4 linked regions of the Notamacropus eugenii genome follow. The protein of the gene in region 1 interacts with the protein of each later gene in a pairwise test. Links are inferred from orthologs where the notes say so. Each region holds a gene or a part of one and is shown in the gene's direction. Other genes may lie near its edges.

Region 1 (7,584 bases):
CTGTCCTGGGCCCATCTCTCTCTTGATCATGTCTCTCTCATGTCTCCCCTGGTGGCAAGGCAAGGAAAATAATTGCTATAAGCCTCCAGGTGGGGAGAGTATGGCTGCTTTTATGAAACAAATCAATGAATACTTTTAAAAAACATATCTGTATATGTTACATATACATACATATATGTATGATAAGCTCCAGAATTTATTTCCTTTCATATTGAATCAGAGTATACAGGATTGACTGAAAGCCAAGGGGTCTGGAGACTAAAAAATGATTGGAAATTCCTAATGAAGATGACTCCCAATGACTACATTCAGATTTTATCTTCCCCCTGGACATCACTCTCACATGACCAACCTTCTTCTGGACATCCCTACCTATATATCAAATTCAGAATATCCCCCCCCCCCAATGAATTAATTCCACCTCAAAATCACTCCTCAAAACCCTTATTTCTATGGGGAAAGCACCACCAACTTTCCTGTCACCCAGGTTCAAAATCTCAGTGAGACCAGCAAGATGACCAGAGAGTTGCAATCTACAAACTTTTCCAACCTGAGAACCTCAGAAGAAAGAAACTCTGCCCAAGAAATGAGTAAATACAGCTTAGTATTTAAGAAGATTTAGTTCTGCATCAGGAGCTTTAATTTCTGTCCTAAAGATAAGAAGACAGAACCTCCATAAGTAAGGTAAAAATGTCATTAACAGAAAATGTTAACAGAGAGTTTTCATTTCCTATCCTTGTGTGTTCATCCTTCGTTGCTGAAGAAGACCATGCCACCAGAGAAATAATGACATGACTTGCACTTGACTTTGTTTTGAGTGAAGGAGGGCTGTGCAGGTCAGCAGCCTCACTTTCCTCCAGAGCTATCTGAATCCAGCCACCAAATATTCATCAGGATGAGTCATCCTGTCCTTAATCACATCTAACTCCAGGCACCTATCAAAGTAGGTACAACCAAGGACTTGTGATTCAGGAACCTCACAGAGCAGTAATCTTACCCAAATCCCACTGGCCCCACAAGAAGTAGCAGACACTAATTCTACCCAGCCACTTAAAGGAGAAGGCTTGATGGAACATAAAACACTATGAAGGTAGAAATCAAACCATGAGGATCAGTGTCACAGACTGGAGGGGAATATTGATTTAAGAGAAACAGAAACCCACTCAGGACCAGTCTTCTCCTAGATTTCTCTCAAGGCCCTGCTGACTCCCACATCTCCCAACTCAAGGTGCTACTGGGGCTACCTTGGGAGGTCTATCTGTGCAAGGGTGAGAAGTAAAGTGATTTAGATTCCTGAAGGTAGGTGGAAAAGAGGACAATTGAAATACCCAAGAGTAACTGAGAAAGACTGAAAAAAATTCCAGCCCCCAAACAGATAAACTACAAGAGAACATAATATTTATAGAAGGAAGGAGTAAACCTCAAAAAAGAAACCAAAACTCTTGGAACAAATATTATAATATGATGATAAATGGACGAGTGTTACCTAATGAAAGAGAGGCTCTTCCAGAAATCATGAGATGATAGCAAGAAACTCCAGAATGGTTCAGAAGAAAAATACAACTTTTAAAAGCGGAAATTATGAATGAAATTAGGACAGAATTCAAAGCTCCCAATGCAGAATTAAAAAACACAAATAGAGTAAGAAAAATTGAATACATGATAAAGAACAAGAATTTGGAATGCAAATAAATACATTAAGTGGACAGAAATTCCACAGAAAAGAAGCAAAAGGCAATAATGTTACAAGAACACATGAACCCTATACAAGCCCAAGTGGCTGACTTTGAAGATAAGCTGCATAGGGATTGTTTAAGGATGAAAATTCTCCCAGAAGAACATGAAAAATCAAACATTCTTGAATACCCTCATGCAGGAAATAATTTAAGAAAAACATCAAAACCTTGGAGTCATCTTTGACGCCTTCCTTTTCCCTCATCCCCCTATATTTAATCAATATTCTAAGCTCCTTGAGGGCAAGGACTATCTTTTGCCTTTTTTTGTATCACCAGTATTTAACACAGTGCCTGGCACATAGTAGGAACTTAATAAATGTCAATTGATTAATTGATCTATTGATTAATTAGTTTCTCTTGACATCTTTTTCTCTCTTAAAACATCTCTCACATTTATCCCTTTCTCTTCAGGCCCATGACCACTACTCAGGCTTGAGTTCTAATCTCCTTTCATGGATTCCAACAAAATAGCTTTCTTGGCTTCCTTGCTTGTAGTCTCTCTTCTTTGCAATTATGCTCCACATAGATGCCAAACTGATCTACTACAACAGAATCCCAACAATAACACTTCCCTTCTCAAGATTTTCTATCCCTTCTAATATAAAATATAATTATAAAATATAATATAAAATACAATTTCCTCAGGCCTTTAAAGTCCTTTGCAGTCTGCTTCCACCTACCTTTTCAGACATTTCATTTTACTTCCCTTCACAAGTTTAGATTTCTAGTCAAATTCTAGCCATTCCATTTCCCGCCTCCATATCTTTGCATAGGTCATTCTGATTGCCTGAAATGTACTCCCTCCTCACCATATAGTTCAGTTGCCATCCTCTGCTCAAAACCTTTCCTGATATTCCTATTTGTTGGTATTTTCTCCCCTTTTCAGCTGATCATGTATTTAGTTATCTGTTTCCAGGGAGATAGGCTAGAATAGTCTAGTGAATATAGTACTGAACTTGGAGTCAGGAAGATCTGAGTTCATATCCTGCCTCTGACATTTACCAACTACGTCACTATGAAAAAGTCACACTCTCTTAACTCAGCTTCTATGACCATAAAAAGAAAAACAAAAACAAAAACAGTAGGAGAGGGTCAGTATTAATTCTTCTTTTATTTGCTTACCTTGCAGAGTTGCTACGAGACTCAAATGAGATAATGTATATAAGAAACTATGTAAATATTGTTATTAACCTTCTTATTTTTATTTTTTGCTGTTATTGCATCCTCCAGTAGAATGTGAGCTCTTTGAAGGCAAGAATTACTTTTTATTATTATCTTTATAGCCCCAACAGCCGACATTCCTGGCATTTTTCACAGAGCAGGTGCTTAAAAATTATCATTTGATGAATTCAGTTAGGAATCTATAACTCTAAAGTTCTAAGGAGTAGGGATATTGTGAAGGAAAATTCTATAGGGATTAAAAAATAAAAGTCAACACTTGGGCTTTAAAAAAATCAACTTTTCAAGCACAAGATGGGAGAAGTGTGTCTAGATATCAGTTCTGAAAAAGAAGTGGGGGGGAGTGTCTTAGTGGTTTGTAAGACCTCTAAACAATGTGGACTAGCAGCAAGAAAAGTTAATGCAGTCTTAGGTTCCTTTCAGATAAGCATAGTATACCCTGGACTTTCCATTCATGAGCTATTGAGGAAGCTTCATTTCTTGGAGAGCCAACCCCAGGCAGGAAGACCTGGTTTCAAGTCTTGCCTTTGATATATATGGACTGTGACCCTGTGCAAGTCTAGTGTCCTAGATGACTCTCCAGAATTAGAAATTGTGGAGCTGCTGCTAATTCATATTTACTAGCAGAGAAGCAATTACAGGACTAGGAGGTCCCTTCACCAATGAAATTTTCAAAAGTAAATTTTTAATAATTGTATAGAATTAGGGAGGTGACTGTAGTCAGGCCCTGATCATATCCACACCTGGAATATTGTGTTCGGTTCTGGGTACACATTTTAGGAAGGGTGTTGATTAGATGGAGAGTATCCAGAAGAGAGGGACAGTTGAGTGGTACAATGCGTAGAGTTCCAGGCTTGGAATCAGGAAGACTCATCTTCCTGAGTTCAAATCCAGCCTCAGACACTTACTAGCTGTGTGACCTTGGGCAAGTCACTTCACCCTGTTTGCCTTAGTTTCCTCACCTGTCAAAGGAGTTGAAGAAAGAAACTGCAGTATCTCTTTCAAGAAAACCGAAGATGAAGTCACGGAGAATCGAACACGATTGAACAACATCAAGAGGAGGGCAACGAGAACGGTCGAGGATCTTGAGTTCATGTCATATAAGGAGGGGTCGGAGGAACTGGGGAAGAGGAGACTCAGGGAGTTACCTGGTAGCTTTCCCCAAGAATCTAAAGGATTGTCCTATGGCCAAGAGATTAGCCCATGGGGGCGGAACAGGGGGCAGGGGGCGGTGGGAGTTCACAGAATCACAAAGGTTAAGAGATGGAAGAGATTTCGGCGAGCAGCCAGTTCAGCTTCCATCCAGTAGGAACCCTTGAATGATATCCTCGAGCAGCAGTCCTCCAATTTCGGCTTGGAGATCCCCTCGAAGTAGGGGCTGCCCACTCCCCTAGGGGACGGCTCTCCCTGGTGGGAAGCTTGGGACATCGAGCCTAGTCTGCCTGCCTTTTGGCTGCTCATGGGGCAGCTGTATCCAGACGTCAGCAAAGCCTTTTTTAAACTTTATTGTTCAACAATGAGATCTGTCCACATGGGGAGTGAGCTGTCTCCCGGCCTGCCGCATTCGGACTGCCCCAAGCGGACGACCCAGACCCAAGCGCCGGCCGCAGCTCCGCGACTCGGAAGAAAGTGCTTTAGAAGCGTCTCTGACGTCACGGCTCCCCCATTCAGGGCTCCCCACCCCCAACTGCGCCCACAGAGCACCACGGGTAGAACCTCACCTGCAGGGAGCAGGGCGGCCCCTCCCCTCCCTAATCCTGGCTTCGGCCCCGCCTCCCCCGGAGCCTCCTCGGAGCCCTCCAGCAGGCTCCCAGGAGAAGGCTGGGGAGGCGGCAGCTGCGGAGCGAGCCCTAGCGACAGCGACAGCGACAGGGACAGCGACAGTGAGAGCGACAGCACGGACTGGAGCTGGAGCGGGAGCGGGAGCTCCGGGGAGAACGGAGTGCAGACAGGTAGCGAAGCGGCCCAGCGGATGGGGGCCCAGGGCACTCCCGGCTCCGGCTCCCCACACCCCTAGCCTCCCTCCAAGGTCCCTTCCACCCTCCTGCCTCCTCCAGTAGTCCCTCCAGGGCCCCCTCCATCCCCTTGCATCCCCAATACTCTCTCCAGGGCCCCCTCCACCTCCCTGCCTCCCTCTGTCCCCCTCCCTCCAGGGCTCCCTCCACCCTCTTTGCCTCCTTCCATTCCCTTCCCTCCATAACCCCTCTTTCCTTCCCTCTGTACCTCCTCCCTTTTTCTATCTTTCTGTCCCTTCCCTCTATTGCCCCTTCCCCCTCTTTTCCTTCCTCTGTTCCCCTCCCTACATTACCCTTCCCTTTTCTTCCCTTTATCCCCCTCTTTCTCTTCCTCCATCCTCCTCCCTCCATCACCCCCACCGTAACCATACACCATCCATCCCACTCTCCGTTCATCTCCTTCCTCCTCAATCCTGCTACTTTCACCACAAGGGTGTCCCTGGCTCCCCTAGTCCCGCCCCCTCCCCCCCAGGATTCCAAACTCAGATCCCCCCACATGCATACACTTGCCGTCCCTCCCCCTCCGCACAGGTAAACAGGAGCCAGGGCGGGGTGGGGCGGGGCCAGTGCTTGCCGGTGTGGTAGGACTGGGGCCTCCGAGTGAGTTGACCTAGCGACTGGTGGGTGTTGGGGGGATGCGAACTGGGGACCATGAACCTCTCTGTGTGTGGAGCTGTGATTGTGGGTCGGCTCAGAGGAGGGATGGTCTAGGTGACAAACAACAACGTGGGTCTGACCGGGGAGTCCACAGAACTTGGTGCCCATCCTGACCGGGCAGCACTGACCTGGTTGCCTGTCCAATCCCTTCTCTAGGTTTCTCTTATCTAATGAAAAAAAAAAAAAGCCAGGGGTAGGACTGGGGGAGGATGTTGATGCATGACTGAAAGTCTATCGCAGTCCCGAAACCCTAAATTCTGCAAAGTGGTGTGTGGGAGTCAGGGTTCTAGGAGCAGAGCCATACATAGCCAGATGAGGGTGGAAGAGTGTATACCAAGCTATGTGGAATCCAGAAGGCAGTGCAGGCAGGCCGGGTCCATGTTGGAAAGGTGTGTGTAAGGTATGGAGGCAGTGTGTAACCCTGTGAGATTTTCTTCTGGGGAAGAAAACTGTCTCCAAGGGCAAAACTCAGACATCATCTGTTTGTGGTCCCTTCCAGTTTGGAAGTTCACTTGGTTCTCCTAAGGTCTCTTGTTCTTACTCCACTTTTTAAGGTCCCTCCAAGTTCTGAATCTGTTTTTTCTAAGGGCCCTCCTTGGTCTGGCATTCTGTGCTTTAAGGTCTCTTTTAGCAATGGCATCCTATATTCTTTGGCCCTTTCCAAAGATGTCAGACTATGGCAATCTAGAGACCAGCCAAGTTCAACCCTCTAATTTTACAGATAAGGACACTGAGGACCATGAAGAAGGGCCTTGCACAGGGTTATTTGGTGAGTTAGTTAGGACTGGCCCTAGAACCCAGATCTACTCTATGATCTGGGATGCATATGAACTCAGCTACAGTAGGGGTCACCCTTGGTGAGGTGGCCGACCACCTGCGTACCCATCCAACACATAGGGGCCACGCCTGATATGGACATCTGTGTCTGTCTCTACATGCCCAAAGCCATCCTGCTTGGCCTGTCTAAGAAGCTGGATGGTGTCCACCCACATCCTGGCTGGGGAGTGACTGGGGAAGAGACATAAAGCCAGCTGTCCCCATGGCGGGGCATGCTTGTCCTCCTTTCCCTAGACCACAGGGATGACCTCTAAGTGATGAAGTAGGTTTCTTCAAGTTTCTCTCACACTCCCACCAGGCACCACTGATCTCTCTGCTCTGGTCTTCCCCACCCTTGCCGAGGCAGCTGTCAGACTGGTTCCCAGCACAAGAAGGCGGCAGGGATGAGGTCATGGGGAAGAAGCTTCACCAGACACACACCCCCACCCCACCCCAGCACACACACACCCAAGCAACCCTCTGCAACAATGCAGAACTGGTCAGGAGTCATTTCCATTCACCAAGCATCTATTAAGCACCCTAGGAGGGGAAAGAAAGGAAAAACAAGCATTTATACAGCACCTCTTGTATACAAGGAAACTGTGTTGAGCCCTGGCAATAGAAAGGTACAAAATGATCTGGGGGGCTAGTCCCGTGAACCCAGTGTGTTACTTTGGACATATCACTTCCCTCTCCCAGCCTCTCTCCTCTGTAGAAGTGGAGTTACAGTCTCCAATCTGTTCCAGCTCTGAAGTTTATCATGTTTTTATTCTTTGTTAACAAAAGCTGGCATTTATATATATTGCTTTAAACACTTTACATGCTCTGTCTCACTGAATCCTTGGAAGACAGGTACTCTAAGCATCCCCATTTCAGAGAGGGGAGATGGAAGTCGAGAATAATAAAGTGACCAATCCAGAGTCTTACAGCTAGCAAGTTGCCTGAGGAAGCATTTAAACCTAGGTTTTTCTGACTCCAAGCTCAGTGATTATACCAGGGAGTTTCTTTTGTTCTATATTCTCTCCCCACTGTGATATTCTCTGTTCAATGATCTGAGCATGTATATATGTATGTGTATGTATATATGTATATATATATATGGATAGATATAGAGATAAAGATATGATATATTTTATATATATATATATAGACAGAGAGAAAGAGAGAGAGAGAGAGAGAGA
Region 2 (7,541 bases), on another chromosome or scaffold:
AGAAATGACAGGCATATGTATACAAGAGCCAGGGAAGGCCCAGGGCTGGGCTGAGGGGAGATTTCTGTTCTCTCTCACCAAGGCAGACCCCTCACAGTTTCTCCCCTAGACATACTCAATAAACAAATTAAGAGGAATTCTCTCTTCCAAGGCTCTGAGAAGTATCCTTCCCCACCCTGCTGAGGGGTAGTTGTTATTTGTGGCTACCTCCCCATTTGAGCATCCTACATTGTCTTACCTGCAACCCTTGTCCCAAGGTACAGGGAAGAGACCTGTACCAATGGAGGTTGGGACAGGGGTGGCATAATTCCACAGGTATATGTCCCAACCCCTTTCCCCCAACCTGGCTGTGAGCTTGCTTTAGAAAGAGGCCAAGTTGCAGTGGGTTCTGGCTGCCTCTCAGCACCCACCACAGGACCTCATGTGCACAGAAACACATGCAGCCCCACTTAAGGAATTTTGAGAGGTAGGTGGCCTTTTAAAAAAAATCATCTGATCCATGGCTCATTTCCCTATTTTACAGAAGAAAACAGAAACAGAAGTAGTGGCAGAGACAGGACTAATAACTCATCTTTAATTGAATCTGCCCATCTGGATAACTGTCTCATTCACTATTAGAACCTACCACATATAAACCATAGGAGTCTTGCAGCTTTTGTCTCATAACAGTCCTATGAGGCAGGTAGGCAGGACAAAGCTTATCCTCATTTTTGCAGAGATGAAAACTGAGGCCCAGAAAGAGAAAGTGACTTGCTCAGGGCTGATCGTACTCATCCAGTAGCTGCATAGGCTGGACTGCAAATATATTTTCTGATGGCTAAACCAGAGTTGCTAGGCTAACCAGATACTAGGCTGCTACTGTCCTCCAACCAGTACGAAGCCCAGTCCTGTTACAGAGAAGTAGTAAGGTTTTTTTCTGAGAGCTATTTACCTCCGTGACAACTCTGGGTATGGCTCTGCTCATCCTTCTGGGGATATCTCTGCCTTCAATCTCTTCTCTGGCCTGGGTCCCCCAATAGGTACACCCCTCTCTCTCCCACCAACCTCTCCCTATCCCTGATGACCCAGATTTCTTGAGTCCTCTTAGTTTCCCTTCCTCAAGGGAAACTTTCAGTGGGAATCTCCATTCCAGGGCTTAGTTCTGCTTTACAAAAACAGAGAGGAGAGGGGGAAAATGAAATGGGACAGGAATGGAGAAGAAGAAAGGGGAAGAGAGAAAGAGAAGAGGAGACATTTTGTCCTTTGCACCATCCCTCTCTCTCAGGTAGCCAGTGTTGAATAGGGCCACCAACTCCCAGTTTCCTCCAGGAAGCCAGGCATCACGGTTCCCTAAGCCCTCCTCAATAAATGGGGCCCCAGCTCTCCTGCCAGTTGGCTATTCCAGATCAATATTGACAAGCTGAGTGTTTCTGGGAAGGAGGTGGGAGGAAGGGCCAAACCATGACCACTAATGGGAATGAGGTTAGTCAGAGAAGAAGTTGAAAGAAGTGAAAGAGGAAAGTGCAGGGAGGATGAGACAGCCCTATTCCCCAGCTACCATCCTTCCCATTCTCTCTTCTCTTTTACTGACAAAATTCTGAAGACAGTCTACACTTGCTGCCTGTGCTTCTCCATTCATTAGACCTCAGCTCCTTAATAAAGTAAATACTCTGATCCTTAAATAGAAAAAGGAATTTAAAAAGCTTTCCATTCATTAGTACAGACACTGGGGTTGAGCTTTTTTCCCACTGAAAATGATTGCATACATAGGTCAGGGGTCAGGGACTCACAAACTGACCATATTTGCCATGTTTCAAAGCTCTAGAGTATGACTTCCTGTTAATCTTCCAAAGTATATTTACTAAGGCAGTTCACTGCATTGGGCAGAGTGTTGGAGATGGAATGGGTGACCTGGGTTGGGGTCTATCTCTGTCACAATGTGTCTGTGGCCAAATCACTTCCCCTCTAAAAGTTCTCAATGAACTCCTCTATAATAATCCCTGCCCTATTTCCATGAATTAATTAGGGATAATTAATCCTAGAATGGAAGATGCCTTTAAAATATCAGAGCTGAAAGGTGACTTAGATATAATCTAATCCAACCCACCATTTGACCCAGTAGGAAGCACACTCAGAAAAGAAGTGATCTGCCCAAGGCTGGTTACACTCTGACTCAGTGGCTGTGTTAAATCAGAACCAGTCTCCTTTCCCCAACAAAAAAGGCTGCTTCCTAGACAAAGGGAATAATGTAATTCTGAGGTGCTTTTCCCCCTCACAACTCCGGCAATATGGGGTTTGGTCAATTTTGTTTGTTTGGCTGATTTCCTAGGTACAAAACACACCTCACATTTAAATGGTTTGATTTGAAAATGTCTTCTCTTGATGGTGAGAAGATTCTAAGATGCCAAAATAGAAGCTAGAAAAGGCAAAATGGAGACAGAGACAAAAAGAGAAAGAGAAAAATAGGAGAGAAGAGAAGAGAGGGAAAAAGAGGGTAGAGAGACAGGAAGAGAGAGAGAAAGGAGGGTAAGGGCCATGGGGGCTCAGAAGAAAAAGACATCTGTGTGAGGGTCCTGAAGGTGTTTCTAGAAGAGATTAGTACTTGAGCAAGGCCAGGAATGACTACAGAATTGGAACTGGCCAAGAAGAGGAAATAAAAGGACTTCTAGGAAGGGAGTGGGGGTGGGGTTAGGTTTAGAGTGGCTGAAAATGAATGATGGTGCTCAGGTTGGGAGAGCCTTCTGCTTTGACAGATCTGGGCTCCCAGAGGTAGCCTGAAATGAGGCTGGAAAGGGAGATTGGAGCTAGACTCTGAATAGCCCTGAATGCCAGGACAGAAGAGTTTGGAATTTATTTGGGGAACTATCTTGAAGTATTTGAGCAGGGGAGTGGTCTGTTAAGATCTATGCATAAGGAAGGCAGAGAGAACAATTAGAAGGCTATCAGTGTGGTCCAGTAGACTGGTGATGAGGAGTTGACCTAAGATGATGGAATAAGCATTATTGTGTAAGGATCATAGATGAACTGGAAGTAACTTCCAGAGATACCCAGTACAACTACCTTGTTTTATAGACAAGGAAATCGAGGTTCAGTTAAGTTGTGACTTGTCCGAGATCACTGAGGTAGGGTTTGAACTCAGGTCCTCTGACTCCAGAATCTGTGTTCTTTCAACTGTAACTACATTGATTGAATTTGAGATTTTCTGTGGGGCGGGGGAAGACGAAAAGGAGTGGAGCAAAAAACAAAGAGTAAAAGATGATTCTGAGGTTTGAGGCTTGGATGACTAGGAGGATGGTGATATCATAGGATAGAAACAGAAGAATCAGGGGGAAGGACAGGTTTGGGGTCAGGGGTTAAGATGATCAGGTCAGTTTTGGAGATAGTGTTGATGTGAATTCTAGGAGGTTGGTTGTTTTCCTTCATTCTCAAAGAGGACCAAAATGACATCACCACAACAAAGTAAAATTTTAGTGTGTCCAACTGTGGCTGATCAGACCAATATGAGCTTGGAATGCTCTACCACAGGTTGGGCACAGATAGTCCATGTGAATTTTTGGGTTGGATACTCCAAATTTGCGCATCCTACATTTTACTTTGTGCTGTCTCAATTCTCCTTTGCTCATAGAGCACAGCACCCTTTCTGATGTGGGCACACCATGCTGAGCAGTCCTGTGCCAGTGTCTCCCATGTTGCACAGTCAAATCCAAAGATCTTGAGAGAAACCTTGAGAGTGTCCTTGTATCACTTCTTATGACCACCATGTGATCGCCTGCCCCATGTGAGTTCTCCATAAAATAGTCTTTTTGGCAAGTGTACATTTTGCATTCGAACAATGAGGCCAGCCCATCGGAGTTGTGCTCTCTGAAGCATAGTTTGAATACTTGGCAGTTCAGCTCAAGCAAGGACTTCAGTAATGTGAATTCCAGGTGTAGACATCCAGTAAACATATAGGTCTGTATTTAGGGAAAGATGAGGGTTAGAGGCTTAAATCTGGGAATTATCTGCAGAGACTACTCAAAGTAGATAGACTTTGGAAATCATTTTTATGGTCACTTGGTACCTAATCATTGAACTCTATTGATATTTAATTATTTGAAAGAAGATGAGCACCTTCTCCCCCAAGAGCAGGGATGCGCTTCTGACTTGCTTCGGGCTGAGCACGTAGGGGCATTAATGATTAAATGGGAATTGTCTGCCAAAGCCTCCCCACAGCCTGAGACCATGGTTATGTCCAGACGCTTTGGGGTCTGTGGGACTGACTTTAAGTCTGAAGATGTTTGCATTGAACTGAACCACAAGAGGGCCACCCAGCTCCTCCCAAGGCCACCACCCCTCTCACCTGTGTTCCAGTATACCTGGCCCCACCCCCCGGAAGAGAAGTGACGGAGGCCAGGAGAGAGACCGAGAGAGATCTGAGAATGGGAAGCCAGGTCCAATAGGGGGCCTCACCCCCCACCCTCCCAGCGATACAGGTGGGACTATGGATGGGACTATGGAACTGACTACATGGGTCATGTCTGTAGAGGGAGGCTGAGGCTAGGAACCCAGACACCTGTGTTAATGGAAGAGAATTAGCTCTGGGAGAAAGAGACTGAAAGGGCCAGGTATCCTGGTTCCAGAAGGCAGACTAAGCCTAACAGCCAAGGTTTCAAGGTCTGGGAAAGTCAGAGAACAAGGGCAAGGAGCCTTGAATTCGGGGGAGAAGATTGATCCTGAAGGCTTAGACTCCCATGTTCTCGGAGGGTAGGGGAGCCTGCTGGAAAGGATGCTTCAGGAGAACCTGGTCAGTGGTAGCAGGAGCAGGGACTGAGACCACAATATCTTTTCTGGGGAACTCTGGGGCAGGGTGAGCACTTTGGAAGCAGGGTTTATGGTTCTAGGACCTGAGAGGTAGGAAAGGCAGAATAAACTGGGCTGACAGGTCCAAGATTAAGGAAGAGGAGAGGTCAAGAGATATATCTTGGGAGGGAAGGAGGGAAGGGGTCTCATAGAGGGTGCTATCCCTTCCTATCCCCTCTATTCCTTACCAAAGGGGAAACTGGGAGCAAGGGCATAAAGAATAAGGGAAGAAGGTGAAAGGTGGGGGAGGTAGGATCTGGGAACTGGAAGCCAAGAACAGGTTCAAGATATGGTCTCCAGGGGTGGGGCCCAGGAAGTAAACAGAAACCGAGAGCCATAGCCCAACACAACCAGTTAGCCTGCTTAGGAGTTAAGTAAAGGGAGAAAACAGGTCTAGGAGTCCAGATGCCTAGATCCTGGGAGATAGAAAAGGGAAGGAAAACTAGGGGTGAAGACAATTGAATGCTGGAATGGGAAAGCAGTCTAAGGTGGCTAGGATATCTGGGTCCTAGAAGAGGGCTAGAGAGCAGAATGCTTGTTCCTGGGAGAGAATGGGCTTGGGGAGTGTGTGGAACAGAGTACTTGAATCTTGGGATCAAGCAGAGCTGAAGGGATCAGGACATGTAGGTCCAAGAGGTAAGAGAGGGCTGGGGGACGTATGCAGCCTCAAACAAAGCAGGGCTGGAACAATGAGGACAGTTAAGTCCACAGAAGGAAGATCCTAAAAACTGGGATTGACTCAATGCTTGGGCACTAGGAAGCTTTCACAGTGATAGATGTTATTTGGTTCCCTCCATGCCTCAGTTACCCTTTGGGTCAGTAACGGGAACTAGGCAAACATACATATCATTAACCTTTTATAGCACAAGGATTATTTGACTACAGAATTAGAAAGGAAGGAAGTCTGGGATGGAAAGTTTCCACTATGTTGAGGGTGGTTCTGGGGTTTGACCTTGGGATAACTTGAGGGTTCAGAGAAAGGAGTGAGGGAAGGAATGCTAGGAATCAGGAAGCAGGTGGGTCAGGAGCTGAGAAGCCAGAATGCCTGAATGGAAAGAGTTGGGGACCAGGATGTCTGGGACCAAGGAGAGGGAAGAGTTGAAAACTGGGAGCTAGGACACTGGTTCTAGAGTTGAGCTAGACATTACTGGGAGTGGAGGAAATTGGGGATGAGCATGCCCATGTCTTAAGTAGGACAGTAATCTGGGGACCAGGATACCTAGGTTCTGAGGTAGTCACCTAGAGGCTGGGAGAGCTCTCATTAGCCTCTTTCTCTAGCTGGCCTCTCCCTTCCTCCCTGTAGATGCTTGGGGAAGCATGAACTCCCCCAGTAGTCCCCAGTTCCCTTCGGGGCTGCTCTCAGGAAGTACCTCCCCAAGTGGGGATGATGGCTTCTTCCCCTTTGTGCTGGAGAGGCGAGATTCCTTCTTGGGGGGGCCAGGGCCTGGGGATGAAAAGCCAGAGGATGAGCCTGAGGACCTGGCTGTGCTGCTTCAGCGAAAGGAGAAGGACTTACTACTGGCAGCTGAGCTGGGCAAGATGCTTTTAGAACGGAATGAGGAGCTAAGCAGAAGCTTGGAAGTTCTCAAGGCTCAACATGCTGAACGGGAGGAAGTAAGTATGATTGATGCCCATCCCTCCCCCCGCCCCAGCAAAGAGCCCATCCAGGTACGTAGGGATCCTTTGCTAGGAAGCAGATGACTTGCCCCTAGGCCTGGCCCTGCCTCATATGACCCTGGTAGTCACTGTCCTTCACTGAAGATCCGGTCACCCATCTGTAAAATGGAGAAAGGGATTGGACTAATGTTTTCTAAGATCACTCCTTGCTATAAACTTCAGTATTCCATAATTCTAAACTCTCTCCAATATGTGGTAAGTTTCTCACTCCTCCACAGACACACACATACCTCCCTTTCTACCTCTAGATTGGCCATCTGGAATGCCCTTAATTTCTGCCTCCTGGCTTCCTCCAAGTCCCAATTAAAATCTCACCTTCTACAGGAACCTTTCCGCAGTCCCTCCTAAGTCCTTCCACTGCGCCTTCCCTCTGTTGAGCATTTCCAGTTTCTCCTGCGTGCATCTTGTTTGCATGTAATCGCTGGTATGCTGTTTTTCTTTTTAGATTGTAAGTTCCTTGATTTCAGGGACTGTGTTTTTTACCTTTCTCTGTATCACCAGCATTTAGCCTAGTGCCTGGCTCATAGGAGTCACTCCATAAATGCTTATTTACCAATTGTCCCTGCCCCCTAACCCCTCCAAAACCAGAATGGTGTAGTAGAACATTGAACAGATTCTAAGAAGCAGCTCTGGCCCTAACTGGCTGCGTGACTGTTCTCCTTTTGTCTGCATCTAGAAAATGAGGGAGGCATGACAGAACCACACATATGGTCCTTAAGGTCCCTTCTAGGCAGAGGTGTGCTATAAAGTCTGCTCCTAGGACCTGACTGTTAAATTTTCATTGTAAGCATTTATACCTTGGATATTTACAAAAGCTACTCATCAGGGCTTAGTTTATTTTATTGATTGTCTAGATTTGTGATGGTGAAAATGTTAATAATTCAAGGTAAGCTGAAAAGTGTGTGGTGCATACATATTAATTTTCCCCCAGAGAGCCAGTTGTTAAATACTTAACAGTACACTCCTGCATCTAATTCTAAGATTTTAGACAATATAAATCCCATAGGGATCATTTCTCCACAACTCATACCTGAGCTCTGCCTAGA
Region 3 (7,576 bases), on another chromosome or scaffold:
CAAGAATATTAGGCCAATTTTCCTTGATAATTTCTTGGAAGATGATGTCTAGGCTCTTTTTTTTGATCATGGTGTTCAGATAGACCAATAATTTTTAAATTATATCTTCTGGATCTATTTTCCAGGTCAGTTGTTTTTCCAATGAGATATTTCACATTGTTTTCTATTTTTTCATTCTTTTGGTTTTGTTTTGTAATTTCTTGGTTTCTCATAAAGCTTCCATCTGTTCCATTCTAATTTTTAAAGAATTATTTTCTTCAGTGAGCTTTTGAACCTCCTTTTCCATTTGGCTAATTCTGCTTTTTAAAGCATTCTTCTCCTCATTGGCTTTTTGGTCCTCTTTTGCCATTTGGGTTACTCTATTTTTAAAGGTATTATTTTATTCAGCATTTCCTGGGTCTCCTTTAGCAAGGTGTTGACTCATTTTTCATGGTTTTCTTGCATCACTCTCATTTCTTTTTCCAATTTTTCCTCCACTTATCTTACTTGATTTTCAAAATCTTTTTTGAGCTCTTCCATGACCTGAGACCATTGCATATTTTTTTTTGGAGGTTTTGGATGTGGAAGCCTTGACTTTTATGTCTTCCTCTGATGGCATGCTTTGTTCCTCATCATGTGAGAGGATGGAGAACATACCTTTTCACCAAGAAAGTAACATTCTGTAGTCTTTCACCCCTCCCCCTTTTTGGGCATTTTCCTAGCCAGTTACTTGACTTTTGAGTCCTTTGTCAAGTGGAGAGTATACTCTAGGGATCTGTAAGTTCTCAGTTCCCCCAAGGTGGCACAATCAAGGGAGAGGAGTTTACTCCTCTCCTGGCCTGCACTCTTGTCTTTTCTGCCTAAGATCTGTGAGTAGGATTCCCTCTCCAGAGGCTCCACCAGCTCCACCATGCCAGTGCTCCTCCTCATCCCAGGACTGCCACTCAGGGCTAAGATTCAGATCAGTAGCTCAATTCCCCCAAGGTCTTTAGACTGAGGGCTTCAAAAGTGGACTCTGCTGCTGCAGTGGCTGCTGCTGCCTTGGGGCCAAGGCTTACCCTGGAGAAAGAGTTTTTTCTTACATTTGAAGCTGTTTGGCTTTTGTCAGTTGAGAAATCTGGAAACCGCAGCTGCTACCCATGATTCCATGCCCTGAAGCTTGCTCCAGTCCTGTCCAGGTGGCCATGGCTGGACTGCACTCCGCTTGGAGCTCAGTGTGATAGACCTTTCCTGTTGGTCTTCCAGGCTGTCTTGGGTTAGACATCTCTTTCACTCTGTTGTTTTGTGGCTTCTGCTGCTCTAGAATTTGTTTAGAATCACTTTTTACAGGTATTTTATGGGCTATGGGGGTAGAGTTAGAGCAGGTCCATCCTTCTACGCTACCATCTTGGCTTCACCCCCATGCCCGAGTTATGCAATGATTTAAAATAAGTAATTTTGTGGACACAGAGATATTACTGGAGTAGAATGACTGAATCACTGTATGCAATTTGCTTCATTTTTTTTTTTTAATTTGGCCCCTAGTCAGTTTATTTTAAGGGAGACTGATAGTGTCACAAACTCAGTGCCAAGACTCTCAGCTTCTTCTTGCTGTATTCCTTTGTGTCTTTTCATACAACTGCCCTTTTGCACTCAATGTCACCAAGCTATGGGGTTGTGAATGGATGTGAAAGAATTGTTCAGAAGCATCTGGATTTAGAACCAACTGTGATCTGGGTCTTGCCCTCTAGATATAGTATCCTACCAAGTTTTACCTTTTCTTTTTTTTAATTAGGTTAACTGAAAATTGATATTTGATGCTTGAATTAGTCATTAAAGGTTTATTATACTTTTAAACAAATAACTTATTTGAACAATTAACTAACAGCTGTGAAACACCTCTTATTTTACCATTATGGAAAGATGCAGAAAAGGTAAGCAATTCAATTCAATAAACATGTTTAAGGACCTACTACATGTAAGGTTTTGTTCTAGGCTCTGAGGAAACAAAGAGAAAAAAATAGCTATAGACCCTGCTCTAAAGGAGCCATAAGTCTAATATAGCAGAACGAAAAGGAGAAGTACCTAGAATTTACCAAATTAGTAAATTACAAAGTGAGAAAGAATTTTAAGAGCTCATCTCTTTCTATCTTCTATCTGGAAGGAGTTGGTACAATTATTGCAATATGTAAGCAGATTTGCCTCGAAGTGGGGGCATTAGGCTGAAGGAAGGAAATAAACATTTATTAAATGCCTACTATGTGTGAGGCACTTTATTAAGTACATTACAAATATTATTGCATTTGATCCTCACAACAATCTTGAATGCTATTATTATTACCATTTGACAGTTAAGGAACTAAGGTTAAGTGACTTGCCTAGGGTCTCACAGTTAATAAATGTCTGAGGCTGAATTTGAATGCAGGTCTTCCTAAGTCCAGATCAAGATATCTATCTCCTGTACCACCTAGCTGTAACTTTAAAACCAACGTTCTTAACCTCTGTTCCATGAACTTTCTTTTTAATCCATATTTTGATAATTGAATTTTAATATAACTTATTTTCTTTATAATTCTATGTATCTTATTTTTAAAACATTTAAAAATATTACTCTGAGATCTGAATTCTGAATATCTGAATTCCATATGCTTCACCAGACTGCCTAAGGGACCCATGGCACAAAATAGGTTAAGAAGCCCAGGGCTAAAGGATCATGACGATCCAAAAGGTTGTATGCTTTCCCTAAAGGAGCAAGATGGGAGGATTGGATTAGGCCAGGGATTCTTAAATTTGTATTCTAGATCCCTTCAACATCTGATGAAGTCTGACAGAATTATATTTTTAAATGAATGAAATAAAATACGTAAGTTTACAAACCAATTATATTGAAATATATTTATAAAAATAATTTTGAAAATCAAAGCCACAGACTCTAGGTTAAGAACCCCTGGCACTAAACAAAATCTAAGGTCCTTCTTGGTTCTAAAAATATAAAAATATCTGACAGAAGATATAGATTTAGATCTCTTGAAGAAGTTTTTCATGTTCCATGAAGAATAAAGTGGACCTAGGATGCCACCAAGAACTAAGGAGAAGGAATGAGGAAAACTAAAAGTGTCTCTACTGAGCCATCTGAAGGTGTCCGTGTTTTGACCTGATGGGAGCAATCAACACACACATTGTCTTTCCTCAACTTGTTCATTCAGAAGGTGGCATAGGAGGTGATAGAAAGTCTTCTAAGGCTTGTCAGAGCTGAGCATCAGTATCTACTTCTGGTGATTCACATGTAAATAAATGATATTTCTAGAAACAACCTGGAAATAATTGCTAAAGATTATGAGCCACTGGGATGTAAACTGAATAATTTAGGCATGCACTGAAATGATGTATTCATTTTTGCTGCCAACTGAAGAAAAGGGCAATGAAGTGAACAGCTGTCTGAGGCTGTCTAAAGCAATGAGGTCAGAGTATAGGATTTAGAATTCTGGATCTTGGCACAAACTCCAGTAATGATGGGCTGTTGCCAGGGATGGAGTATACCTAAAGAGAACTACGAAAAATGTATTTGCTTGGAGACTAGCCAATATGATTAAGAAGGCATTGAATTTTAAAGAGAAAAGGAAGGAGAAAAGTACTCAAATACAACTACTAACTCAGATGCTACAGAGAACAGCTGGAATGACAGAGAGATAATACCAACAGTGGATTTCAGTAATTCACAGGGGCTGATAATGCAGAAGAGGGGCAGATATGGGTTCACGTGGGTTCAGGTATCAATTTATTGTTGCCTAGAATATAGGTAAAACAAAAATGAGCTGGGGAATTAATATATGGAGGTAACTATGATTTCATAGGAGTGATTAAGACTTGGTGGGATCCAACTCACAACTACTCTGCAAGTCAGCCAATAGGTATTTATTATGCCTTTACTATGTGACTTTGTACAACTCCGCCTCACTTCAATCTAATTCACACAAACATCAAGATATCACTCCAAGATGTTATTGATCCTCTTTGAAAATAAAGGACAAACAACAACAATGTGACATGAACTGTGCTATTCACTGGGGATATAAAGAAAAACAAAAAAATCGTTCCTATCCTCAAGAGGCTCACATTCTAATGAGGAAGATAACATATCAATAACTAGGGATATACAGGATATATACAGAGTAGATGAAGATAGTCTGAAAAGGAAAGGAATTAGCAGGTGTAGGCTTCCTAAAGAAGGTACATCTTAAAAAGAATCCTTAAGTCTTAAAGGAAGTCAGAGAAGATAAGAGGCAGAGATAAGAGGCAAAGCCTTTGAGACTTGGGAGACAGCCAATGTAAAGGCACAGAGACTGAAGACAGAGTGTTCTGTTCAAGGCATAACAAGTAAGCTAGTAGAACTGGATCATTCAGTGCTTGCTGGGCTGAAAATGAAAGAAGAGGCTGGGCCATAAAAAGCTTTCAATACCAAAAAGAGGGCATTATATTTGACCCTGGAGGTAGCAGGGAGTCATTGGAGCTCTTTGAGCAGAGGGATATGTGTAGGGGGAAGGTGAAATGATCTGATCTATACTTTTGGAAAATCACCTTGGAAGGTGAGTAGATGATGGATTGAAGTAGAGGGAGACTCGAGGCAGGGAGATGAATTAGAAGGCTATCATAGTAGTCCAGGTAAGAGGTGACGAGAGCCTTTACCAATGTGACTGTATGAGTGGAGAGAAGGAAACATATGAAAAAGGTTAAGGTAGAAATGATAAGATTTAGCTATGGATTCCATAGGTCAGGTGAGGGAGAGTGAGGAGTCCAATATGATACTGAGGTTTTGAACCTGGGGCACTGGAAGGATGGTGGTGCTCTTGATAATAATAGGGAAATTGGGAAGAAGGGAAAGCTTTAGGGGAAAATTAATGAGTTTTGTTTTAGACATGTGGCATTTGACATGCCTGTGGGATACCAGTTCCAGAAGTCAAGAGGCAGTTGGAAATATATGAATATAACTCAACAGAGAGACTAGGACGGGAAGTCATATAACCTGGGAGTCATTTACTTAGAGATGATAACTGAACCCATGGGAGCTGATGAGATCACAAAGTGAGAGAATATTGAGGAAAAAAAAAGAAGGGGGCTCAGGACAGAGCCTTCAGAGTTACCTTCAGAGTTTGTAAGCATAACATAAATGAAGAAAAAGATTCTAAGAAGTGGTTGAATAGGTAGGAATAGAACCAGGAGACAGCAATGCCCTGAAAACCCAGAAAGAAGAGAGCCCCTACTTTCTAAAGTTGAACTGTTTACATTCCTACATGGAAAGATAATATTTGTAACTCTTGAAACTTTTCTCAGTATTTGGGTAGTTGGAGGGATTACACACACACACAGAGCACAGGGTGAGTTGAATAAGAAGGGATGATACCTAAAAAAATAAAATTAAGAGATGAGAGAGGACTATATTGGGAGGAGAAAGGGATAAATGGAATGGGGCAAATTATCTCTCATAAAAGAGACTAGAAAAAGCTTTTTCAATGGAGGAGGAAAGGGAGGAGGTGAGAAGAAAAAAGTGAAGCTTACTCTCATCGCATTTGGTTTAAGGAAGGAATAACATGCTCACTCAATTTGGTATGAAAATCTGTCTTACAGTACAGGAAAGTAGGGGGAAAGGGGATAAGCAGTGTGGCGGGATGATAGAAGGGAGGGCAAATGGGAGGAGGGAGCAATTAGAAGTAAACACTTTTGGGGAGGGACAAGGTCAAAAGAGAGAACAGATTAAATGGGGGGCAGGATAGGCTGGAGGGAAATAAAGTTAGTTTTACACAACATGACTACTATGGAAGTCTTTTGCAAAACTACACATCTATAGCCTATATTGAATTACTTGCCTTCTCAATAGGGATGGGTGGGGAGGGAGGAAGGAAGAGAAGTTGGAACTCAAAGTTTTAGGAATGAATATTGAGAATTGTTTTTGCATGCAACTGGGAAATAAGAAATACAGGTAATGGGGTATAAAAATCTATCTTGCCCTACAAAAAAAGAGAGAAGATGAAGATAAGGGAAGGGTGGGGTGTGATAGAAGGGAGGGCAAATTGGGGGAAGGGGTAATCAGAATGGACAGAGTTTTGGGGTGGGGGAAGGGAGACATAGGGAGAAAATTTGGAACTCAAAATTTTGTGGAAATGAATGTTGAAAACTAGAAATAAATAAATAAACATTAAGAAAAAGCAGAGAGCCCCTAGAAGAGCAAGGTGGTCAACAGCATCAAATGTTTCAGAAATTTCAAAAAGGGTTGGGATAGAGAAAAGGGGATTAGATTTCATAGTCACAAAATCATTGGTAACTTTGGAGAAAGCAGTTTCAGTTGTAAGATAAGTTTGGAAGTCAGATTGCACAAGGTTTAGAAGAGAGTGAGAGAGGAGTAAGTAGAGGCTCCAAATGTTAGCCAAAAAAAGAAAGATATAAGATTATAACTAGGAAGGCTAATCTGATGAAGTAAGGTTTAAAGGATTGGGGAGACATAAGCATATTTGTAGGCAGCAGGGAAAGAGCCAGTAAGTAGATAGGGTAAGATTGAAGATAGGAGAGAGAATGGTGATAATAATGAGAGAAATTTGTTGGAGAAGCTATTAGGAGATTGTATCAAGAGGACATGTAGAGGGCCTTGCCTTGGCAAGGAGAAAGGCCACCTCTTTATCTGAGATTGGAGTAAAGAAAAAGATAACAGAGAAAGATATTCAAGTAATATGAGATGAGGAAGAGGAAAGAAGTGAGGAGGAACCTGAGAATTGTCTCCAATTTTTCTGTAAAATATGAGGGGCTTTGCTGGGAGGTGAAAGGTGTGAAGTAGGAGGTTGAGAAGAGACAAAAAGATTTAGATCAGCTATTATGGAGAGTGGGAAACATATATGTTTCCCTCTCTCCACTCATACATGTGGAGGAATAGAATGCTTGCTTTGTTGCAACAGGGTCCAGTTAAGTTCAGAAAACAAATTTTTAGTGAGTTCAGTCAGCAGGGTTTCATGTCCTCTAGCTCTGTGCAGCAGCGTATGAACAGGAAGGAAGGTGGCAAGATGGAGGACTATATGCTTATGCTTGGATAAACATGATCAGTGTTAGGACAAGTGGGGGAGGAATGTAGGGTGAAGAGTAATATAGAGTTGAGTTAATTCATGAGGGTTTAAGATAAGGAAGGGAGAAGAGTATATAGACAGTATGAGGTGATGGCCTGGGAAAATAAGAAACAGCTCTCATGGTGAGGATGAAGGTTAGGGGTTGTGAGGAAGAGGGAAATATCAGATAAAAGAATTTCAGATTTCATGAACATGGGTGTGGAACACTTGTGTGTGAGGGCAAGATCAAGGATGTGACCATCTTTGTGTGCAGCTTAGCTATAGCAGAGGAATATGTTATAACAACTGAACAAATTGAACGGCATCAATATATATGAAAGCAAGAAGAGAAGAGAAAAACTATGAATCCAACACTGAATTCATTGAGGGTAAAAGAAGAATGTCCTAGAAATCAACAGAAAATAGCCTCTAGGAGCTGGATTTGATTATACATTTTAATGTCATGATCCTGAAAGGAGAAGAGATTGCTTAGCAAAGGTTACTGAAAGAAGTCTGAAATTGGAGAAGGA
Region 4 (8,159 bases), on another chromosome or scaffold:
TTTTATCTCTTCCTGCACAGTTTTGTTTAGAATCACCCCATCATATACAGCTCAGGCCAGGTCTTTCTTTCAAACTACCAAAATAATGATGGCAGTCATAAGAGTACTAATAACATTTTCACATATAAGAAGTAAACATTTTGACCGTATTGAATCCCTTATAATTGGTCTTTAATGTCTACCTCCTGAATCTTATATGTCAGATTTTCCATTGTTATGCTATTTGTGTTACAAATAATTGAAAGTCTTTCAATTCATTAAATGTCCTTTTTTTTTTCATTCAGGATTACACTTAACTTTGCTGGGTAAATTACCCTTGGTCATAACCTTAGCTCTTTTGCTCTATGAAATATAGCATTCCAAGACCTATGGTCCTTCAGTATAGTAGCTGCTAGATCTTATGTAATCCTTATTGTAGCTCCATCATATTTAAATTATTTTTTACTTGTTGCTTGCAATATTTTCTCCTTAATCTGGAAACTTTGAAACTGGGCTATGATATCCTTGTAAGTTTTCCTCCTGAGATTTCTTTCAGGAGGTGATCAGTAGATTTTTTTTCTATTTCTACTTTGCCTCCTTGTTCTATAATTTAAGGGCAAAATATTTTAAAATATTTCTTTGGTATACGTGTAATTTAATCATTTATTAAAGATGAAAGCAGATTTGTATGCTAATGAAATGATGTGCTTATTTTTACATAAAGAATTAAATCTTGGTGGAATATTTGATAATGTCGGATGTAGAGTATCTTCAACATTTTTTCAGAGTTGATTGATATTTTGACTTTATAATTGTCTATGCTGAGATTTACACCTAAATATGTAGTACCAAGTGGCAGAAGTATGTTTAGGGACATTTCAGAAATTGCTGGAAATTCTGCCTTAATCCCGAGTCAAAATTCATTTAATTTTTTTTTTTAAGGAAACCCAATTTTTAAACTTGTATCACTTAATAACTTGGCAAATTCTTCTTGAACTTTTAATGGCAGATGACTGATGTTTTGATTTCAATTGAATATGGTTTATGAACCCAACTTTGTTTTTTAGAATCAAAATTTGGAGGGAGATATTTCTGAAACTATGTCTCTAGGCACTTCGGATGAGCAGTTGTAACTCTTACAATTAAATCTTTGGGAAGATTATTTTTAATTATAAAATCATCTGTTGGTGTAAACATTTCTAAAGAGTCATTTTCTACCCTATTCTTCCATATGTTAACTTTTTTATACACATACACACACACACACATACACATATATACATATCCTTGTCTGACATTTTAGCAGATTGAGAGTTAAATTAATTTGATTTTTATTTAATAGTTTAGTAAAAAATGATTGAGATTTCCTCTAAGAGAGAACTCCTTTCTAATGTTTTGGAAATCATTATGTTAGTAGTGATAATGCACTGATGATAATGCTTATTCTCTTCATCTGAATGGTGTTTCTGCTTCTTATTTCTCCCCTCAAGTCTTGATTGTGATAATGTTCCAGTTAAGAGGTAACTAGAAGAAATTCTTGTATGTATGAAACTAATGAACTTTACAGAAAAATGAATGAATATTGTGGACTGGTTTAGGATGTAGAAAGCCCTTATTTTCTCCCTCTGTAAAGGCAAGTTCCTTCAGATGTCCTTCTGGACCTTTCTCTTGACTATACCAGTAAAATATCAGACACATCTAGTGGGTAGACTATGAAAAATTGTGGGAGTGTGCATTTCATATAAGGAGATGCTAATTCTAGCTTATACTTTAGAATAAGAGCAATTAAACTTACAGATGTTGTAAGTTCTTTATGCAGCTGCGGGTTGGTGGTGGGGTAGTAGCCAATTGGAATAATTCTTTTGTAACTGAAAAGAGTTCATTTGAAAGAATCAAAGAATCAAGAGCTAATTTGTGATAAACTGGTGACCTAAAAGGAATGGTGGAGAAGAGAAGCTATGCCACAAAACTGCAAATAGGGCAAATGTCTCCATTTTGAAAAACGAGGAAGACGGTAGATTGCACATTTAAGTTGGACAACTTGACATTAATCCTTAGTAAAATTCTAGATTATTAAACTTAAGTCTTGTGACACTTTGAAAAATAAAGTAGAAGGGGGCGGAGCCAAGATGGCGAAGTAGAAAGACGCACATACACATAGCTCCGAACCCACAAACCACAGAACGGCTAGAGGGGACCAACCCAGGGCGAATTCTGCACCCAGAGACCACGGAATATTGGAGCGAGGGAGATTTCTGTTCCAGAGAGACCTGCAAACCTCTCGCAGGGGGTCCTTCGCGCCGTGGACTGGGCGCTGGGACGGGAAGCAGAGGGCAGCCCTACCACGACCACGACACCGTGAGGAAAAGATCCGAGAGGGCTACAGGGACGGGATCTCCAGCGGCCACACGGGTCCCCCCACCCACAGAGGGACCTGCAAACCTCTCTCGCAAAAGGTCCGTCGCACTGCAGACACAGAGTCCAGCCCGGACCTGTGGCGTCTGCGGCTCCGAGAGGCACAGATCTGAGAAGGCTCCAGAGACGGGATCTCCAGCGGCGGCACAAGCCCCCCCACCAACAGGTGACTGACGGGGGTAGGTAAGAGAGTCTCTTTGGCGGGTTGAGAGGGGAGTGGGGTGCCCCCATGGCTCGGGTTCCCCCAGGAGATAGAAGCTGAGAGGCAGCTACAGACAGGGGCTCCCCAAACGGGCGGGAGCCTGGATCCATTGTGGAAGGTCTGTGCATAAACCCCCTGAGGGAACTGAGCCAGAGAGGCGGCCCTGCCCCTGACCACCTGAACTTAATTCTCACACTGAATAGCAGCCCTGCCCCCGCCAAAAACCCTAAGGCAGGAAGCAGCATTTGAATCTCAGTCCCCAAACGCTGGCTGGGAGGACCAGGAGGCGAGGTGGGTGTGAGGAGAACATTCAGAGGTCAGGTCACTGGTTGGGGAGAATGCCCAAAAAAGGGAAAAGAAACAAAACGATTGAAGGGTACTTTCTCGGAGAAAAGACACTTCCTCCCTTCCTTGCTGATGGGGAGGAACAATGCTTGCCATCAGGCAAAGACACAGAAATCGAGGATTCTGTGTCCCAGCCCACCCAATGGGCTCGGGCCATGGAAGAGCTCAAGAGGAATTTTGAAAATCAAGTTAGAGAGGTGGAGGAAAGACTGGGAAGGGAAATGAGAGGGATGAGGGAGAAGCATGAAAAGCAGATCAGCTCCCTCCTAAAGGAGAACCAAAAAAATCATGAAGAAATTGGCACCTTGAGAACTAGCCTAACTCAGTTGGCAAGGGAGGTGCAAGGGGCCAATGAAGAGAAGAATGCTTTCAAAAGCAGAATAAACCAAATGGAAAAGGAGATTCAAAAGCTCACTGAAGAAAATAGATCTTTCAAAACTGGAATGGTACAGATGGACGCTAAGGACTTTATGAGAAAGACAGATATCTCAGAACATAGCATGCAGATTCGAAAAATGGAAGATAATGTGAAATATCTTATTGGAAAAACAACTGACCTGGAAAATAGAATCAAGAGAGACAATGTAAAAATTCTGGGACTACCTGAAAACCATGATCAAAAGAAGAGCCTAGATATCATCTTCCATGAAATTATCAAGGAAAACTGCCCTGAGATTCTAGAACCAGAAGGCAAAATAAATATTCAAGGAATCCGCAGAACACCGCATGAAAGAGATCCAAAAAGAGAAACTCCTAGGAGCATTGTGGCCAAATTACAGAATTCCCAGGTGAAAGAGAAAATATTTCAAGCAGCTAGAAAGAAACAATTCAAGTATTGTGGAAATACAATCAGGATAGCACAAGATCTGGCACCCTCTACATTGAGGGATAGAAGGGAATGGAATAGGATATTCCAGAAGTCAAAGGGACTAGGACTGAAGCCAAGAATCACCTACCCAGCAAAAGTGACTATAATACTTCAGGAGAAAAAATGGTCTTTCAATGAAATAGAGGACTTTCAAATTTTCCTGATGAAAAGACCAGAGCTGGAAAGAAAATTTGACTTTCTAACACAAGCATGAAGAGAACCATGAAAAGGTGAACAGCAAAGAGAAGTCATAAGGGACTTACTAAAGTTGAACTGTTTACATTCCTACATGGAAAGACAATATTTGTAACTCTTGAAACATTTCAGTATCTGGGTATTGGGTGGGAGTACACACACACACACATGCACACATGCACACATACATAGAGACAGAATGCACAGAGTGAATTGAAGAGGATGGGATCATATCTTAAAAAAAAAATGAAATCAAGCAGTGAGAGAGAAATATTGGGAGGAGAAAGGGAGAAGTTATATGGGGCAAATTATCTCTCATAAAAGAGGCAAGCAAAAGACTTATTAGTGGTGGGATAAAGAGGGGAGGCAAGAGAAAAACATGAGGTCTACTCTCATCACATTCCACTAAAGGAAAGAATATAATGCACACTCATTTTGATAGGAAAACCTATCTCATAATACAGGAGAGTGGGGGACAGGGGCACAAGCAGGGTGGGGGGGAGGATGGAGGGGAGGGCATGGGGAGGAGAATGCAATCCGAGGTCGACACTCATGGGGAGGGAAAGGACCATAAGAAAATAGAAGTAATGGGGGACAGGATAGGATGGAGGGAAATATAGTTAGTCCTATACAACACAACTAGTATGGAAATCATTTGCAAAACTAAACAGATTTGGCCTATATTGAATTGCTTGTCTTCCAAGGGGAAGGGGTGGAGAGGGAGGGAGCTAAAGAAGTTGGAAGTCAAAGTGTTAGGACCAAATGTAATGTTCTTACCACTGGGTAACAAGAAATACAGGTTAAGGGGTCAAGAAAGCTATCTGGCCCTACAGGACAAAAGAGAAGACGGAGACAAGGGCAGGTAGGGAGGATAGAGGAGAGAGCAGATAGGTCACAGGGGCAATTAGAAAGCTTGGGTTTGAGGGGGGAGGGGATAAAAGGGGAGAAAATTTGTAACCCAAAATTGTGTGAAAATAAATGTTAAAAGTTAAATTAAAAAAAAAAAAGAAAAATAAAGTAGTAATCATCAAAAGACAACATATATTACACAAGTAGATCAGGAATGTATAATAAACATTACTATACATGAATTTCATCAAAACATGTAACAAGTTATCCTACAAAATCCTTGTGAACAGATTGTGGACATATAGGCTGAATGATGCATAGAGCCTGAATTTATTGAAATATCTAGCCCAAAGAAGACTTAATGGACCATCATCAGTCTTGACGTAGATGTGGGGATCCGATGAGGTAATGCATTATAAATTATTTATAAACTTTTAAGTGCTATGGAAATGTCAGCAATTGTTTTAGTACCTGGAATGATATGATTGGGTCTAAGTAAATCAAATCTAGTAATAACTAAAATTTATACATCACTTTAAAGTTTGCAAAGTGCTTTTTGTATATTATCTCATTTGATCTCACAACCCACAATTTTATATGGATAAATATAAAGTTCTCTACTTAAGTTAAAAGAAAATCAAATATATAAACACAAAGTTGAAGAAAACTGCATGGTATTTTCATGTGAAAAAGACATGGAAATTTAAGTGAACGTATATATCCAATCTAAGACAATAGTGTGACATGGAAACCTAAATAGTGTAAGTCTCTGTTAATAGAAGCATTGTGTCCAGAACAAGGGAAACATGAGCCATATCTACACTGCCAAGATCAGACCACCTATGCCATATTATATTCCTTTCAGGATTTTTTATTGTAGGAAGGTTATTTACGGCTAAAGCTCATTGAGATAAGGGTGGCCAATATGGTGAAGAGACTCAAATTCTCATCATTTCAGATTCATTTGGAAGGTGGGGTTATTTAGCAGGGAACATGATCTCTATCTTCAACGGTTTGAAGGGTGGTTATGTCAAAAGGGGATTTAGGGTGATTTTATTTGATTACAGCAGGCAGAATTGGAACTAAGAGATAAAAGTTATTGGAAAGGAGATTTTAGCTGAGCATAAAGAATTACCTGATGGTTAGAATTATCCTAAAAACAGAATGGACTCCCTTAGGAAATAATTTTCTTATCACATAAGGTCTTCAAGGAAATGTTGGATCAAAAGGATCACTTGTTGGGAATGCCATGGATCTCTACTAAAGGGTAGGATCTGATGTGATGTAATGTCCCTTTTCCACTCTGAGGTCTTAACTGGGCTGCTTGGAAATCTAGTGAGTTTGATTTATTGCTTCAGTGATACTAGTATTGGAAGCCTAGTCCTAGTTAATACAGGGAGCTGAAGGTCCCTTTTCAAAATCTAGAGTCTTAATTTGTTGACTATGGGGAATGAGGTGTGTGCAGCAAGTATAGTCTTAGACCACTGCCAGGAAGTAACGAAATAGGTAGGAAAAAAGTCTTGTAAATAATAAAACTGAATTGTTCACTCTTGGTTGCATCTCATCTAGCAAGGATATGCTGGGAAATTCCAACAATTTCTGCATCTGGCTTGCACAGCTTTTAGGAGAGATTTGGTATATACACTGAAGTTGGAATTCAGACCTACTCATGAGACAACAAGCATTCTTTGATGTGCTTTAAAGGATGAAGAAGTAGAAAAATTACATCAAGAACTGTCCAACCCCCCCTCTAAAGTAAGGTAGCATATATGTGGTGACTTCATTGAGAAAGTGGACACAATGGAAGCTGGTAAAAAATGTGAAACATTGGAAACTGGTTCAGTATCAAAAAATGAAAAAGATCAAAAAGTCACTAATAAGTTTTATTCTTGTTATGTCACAAATATGATATGTAATTCAGTGTGCCAGAACCAAAAAAATGTAACAAATGAAAATATTAGCAGTTGGGAAATAATGATTTATTTTGGGGTCATTTCTTATCCATCTGTCAGTACGTAGTAAGATCACTGGTTAGAATAGAGGTTAAAATTGAAACCAAACTAGAAGAACAAAGTTAAAAAGATAGTGAATAGAATTATAACCTAGGCTATTACAACCAAGTGTTAGCTCTGAAAAAAATGCAAAATTGATAAAGGCACCAACTCTGTTGATCATTATTTCTTGGAGAAGTTGAAGAAACAATTGCTACAATAAGAAGACCAAAAGAGCCTAAAAGATGCCTTACTGATGCTTCTTGCCAAGAGGAGAGACATGGAAACCTAGGGCAACAATGATTTAGAATACAAGCTTATTTGTACAATATTATGGAAGAAGAAATGGAAGATTGGAAGTAATTTTGAGGCAGCTGGTGATACAGTGGATAGAATTCTGGGCCTGGAGTTCAAATGTGGCCTTAGTTGTATGACCCTGGGCAGGTCACTTAACCTCTGATTCTTTCAGTTTCCTCAACTGTAAAATGGAAGTAATAATACCACCTACCTCTTAGAGTTGTTTTGAGGGTAAAATGAGATAATATTTTATGTATTTTTCTCAATTACATGTAAATTTTTTAACATTACTTTTTTTAAATTTTGAGTTCCAAATTCCCCCTCTCCCTCCCTTTGCTTCCTGCCTTGAGAACGTCATGCAAAACATATTTCTAAATTAACCATGTTACAAAAGAAACACAAACCAGAAAAAAAAACCAAGAAAAATAAGATTTTAGAAAGTATGCTTCAGTCTGCATTCAGACTCCTTCAGTTTTTTCTCTGAAGGTGGATAGCATTTTTTTCATCATAAGTCCTTCAGAATTGTCTTGGATAAAATGAGATAACATTTGTAAAAAGTGCTTAGCTCAGTGTTTGGCACATAGTAGGTCCCATGTAAATGCTTATTCCTTTCCTCTTACCCCAATACTGCCTCACAAAACAGCAAAAGGCATTGGAGTAGAAAATATGCCTATGGAGAGCTTGGTGTGAATTGGAAGGAAAACAACAAATAGATATAAGATGGAACAGATCTGCCAGTATGCCCATAGCTACTTATTGCCTAGGACAATGTAATGACTACATTGGTATCTTTAATATCTGATCTATGTTCTATGTGGGAAGTAGAAATGACATGATGATAATATGAAATCAGAAAAAAATAACTGAACCTGACCAAATGGCAGAGCTATAAATGAGGTGTTCTGACTGCTACTTTTCCCTAGAGCACAAGAATTTAGTACTTTTCTCTTTTTAGTAAGAATTAGTTAAGAGAGCAAGGGAATTGTGTCAGTTCATTAAGAGTGTATTTGGCTCACCA

The links.
Region 2: the proteins of KLC3 (region 1) and BICDL2 interact in binary tests that used the Homo sapiens proteins (3 or more experiments, as listed by UniProt). The two-hybrid records come from large-scale screens. The link is inferred for Notamacropus eugenii from reciprocal best matches to the Homo sapiens genes KLC3 and BICDL2.
Region 3: the proteins of KLC3 (region 1) and TSNAX interact in binary tests that used the Homo sapiens proteins (3 or more experiments, as listed by UniProt). The two-hybrid records come from large-scale screens. The link is inferred for Notamacropus eugenii from reciprocal best matches to the Homo sapiens genes KLC3 and TSNAX.
Region 4: the proteins of KLC3 (region 1) and CEP57L1 interact in binary tests that used the Homo sapiens proteins (3 or more experiments, as listed by UniProt). The two-hybrid records come from large-scale screens. The link is inferred for Notamacropus eugenii from reciprocal best matches to the Homo sapiens genes KLC3 and CEP57L1.

What each region holds. Positions count from the first base shown.
Region 1 is NC_092876.1:27,702,423-27,710,006, forward strand, and holds the start of KLC3 (kinesin light chain 3), read left to right. Parts: upstream 1-4,431; coding exon 4,432-4,867; intron 4,868-7,584. UniProt on the Homo sapiens protein: Kinesin is a microtubule-associated force-producing protein that may play a role in organelle transport. Plays a role during spermiogenesis in the development of the sperm tail midpiece and in the normal function of spermatozoa.
Region 2 is NC_092872.1:56,607,341-56,614,881, reverse strand, and holds the start of BICDL2 (BICD family-like cargo adapter 2), read left to right. Parts: upstream 1-4,476; 5' UTR 4,477-5,369; coding exon 5,370-5,454; intron 5,455-6,121; coding exon 6,122-6,432; intron 6,433-7,541. Other genes in the region: THOC6 (THO complex subunit 6), read right to left, coding at 3,447-3,932.
Region 3 is NC_092873.1:389,855,820-389,863,395, forward strand, and holds the start of TSNAX (translin-associated protein X), read left to right. Parts: upstream 1-4,460; 5' UTR 4,461-4,544; intron 4,545-7,576.
Region 4 is NC_092873.1:188,928,761-188,936,919, forward strand, and holds the start of CEP57L1 (centrosomal protein CEP57L1), read left to right. Parts: upstream 1-5,044; 5' UTR 5,045-5,240; coding exon 5,241-5,258; intron 5,259-8,159. UniProt on the Homo sapiens protein: Centrosomal protein which may be required for microtubule attachment to centrosomes.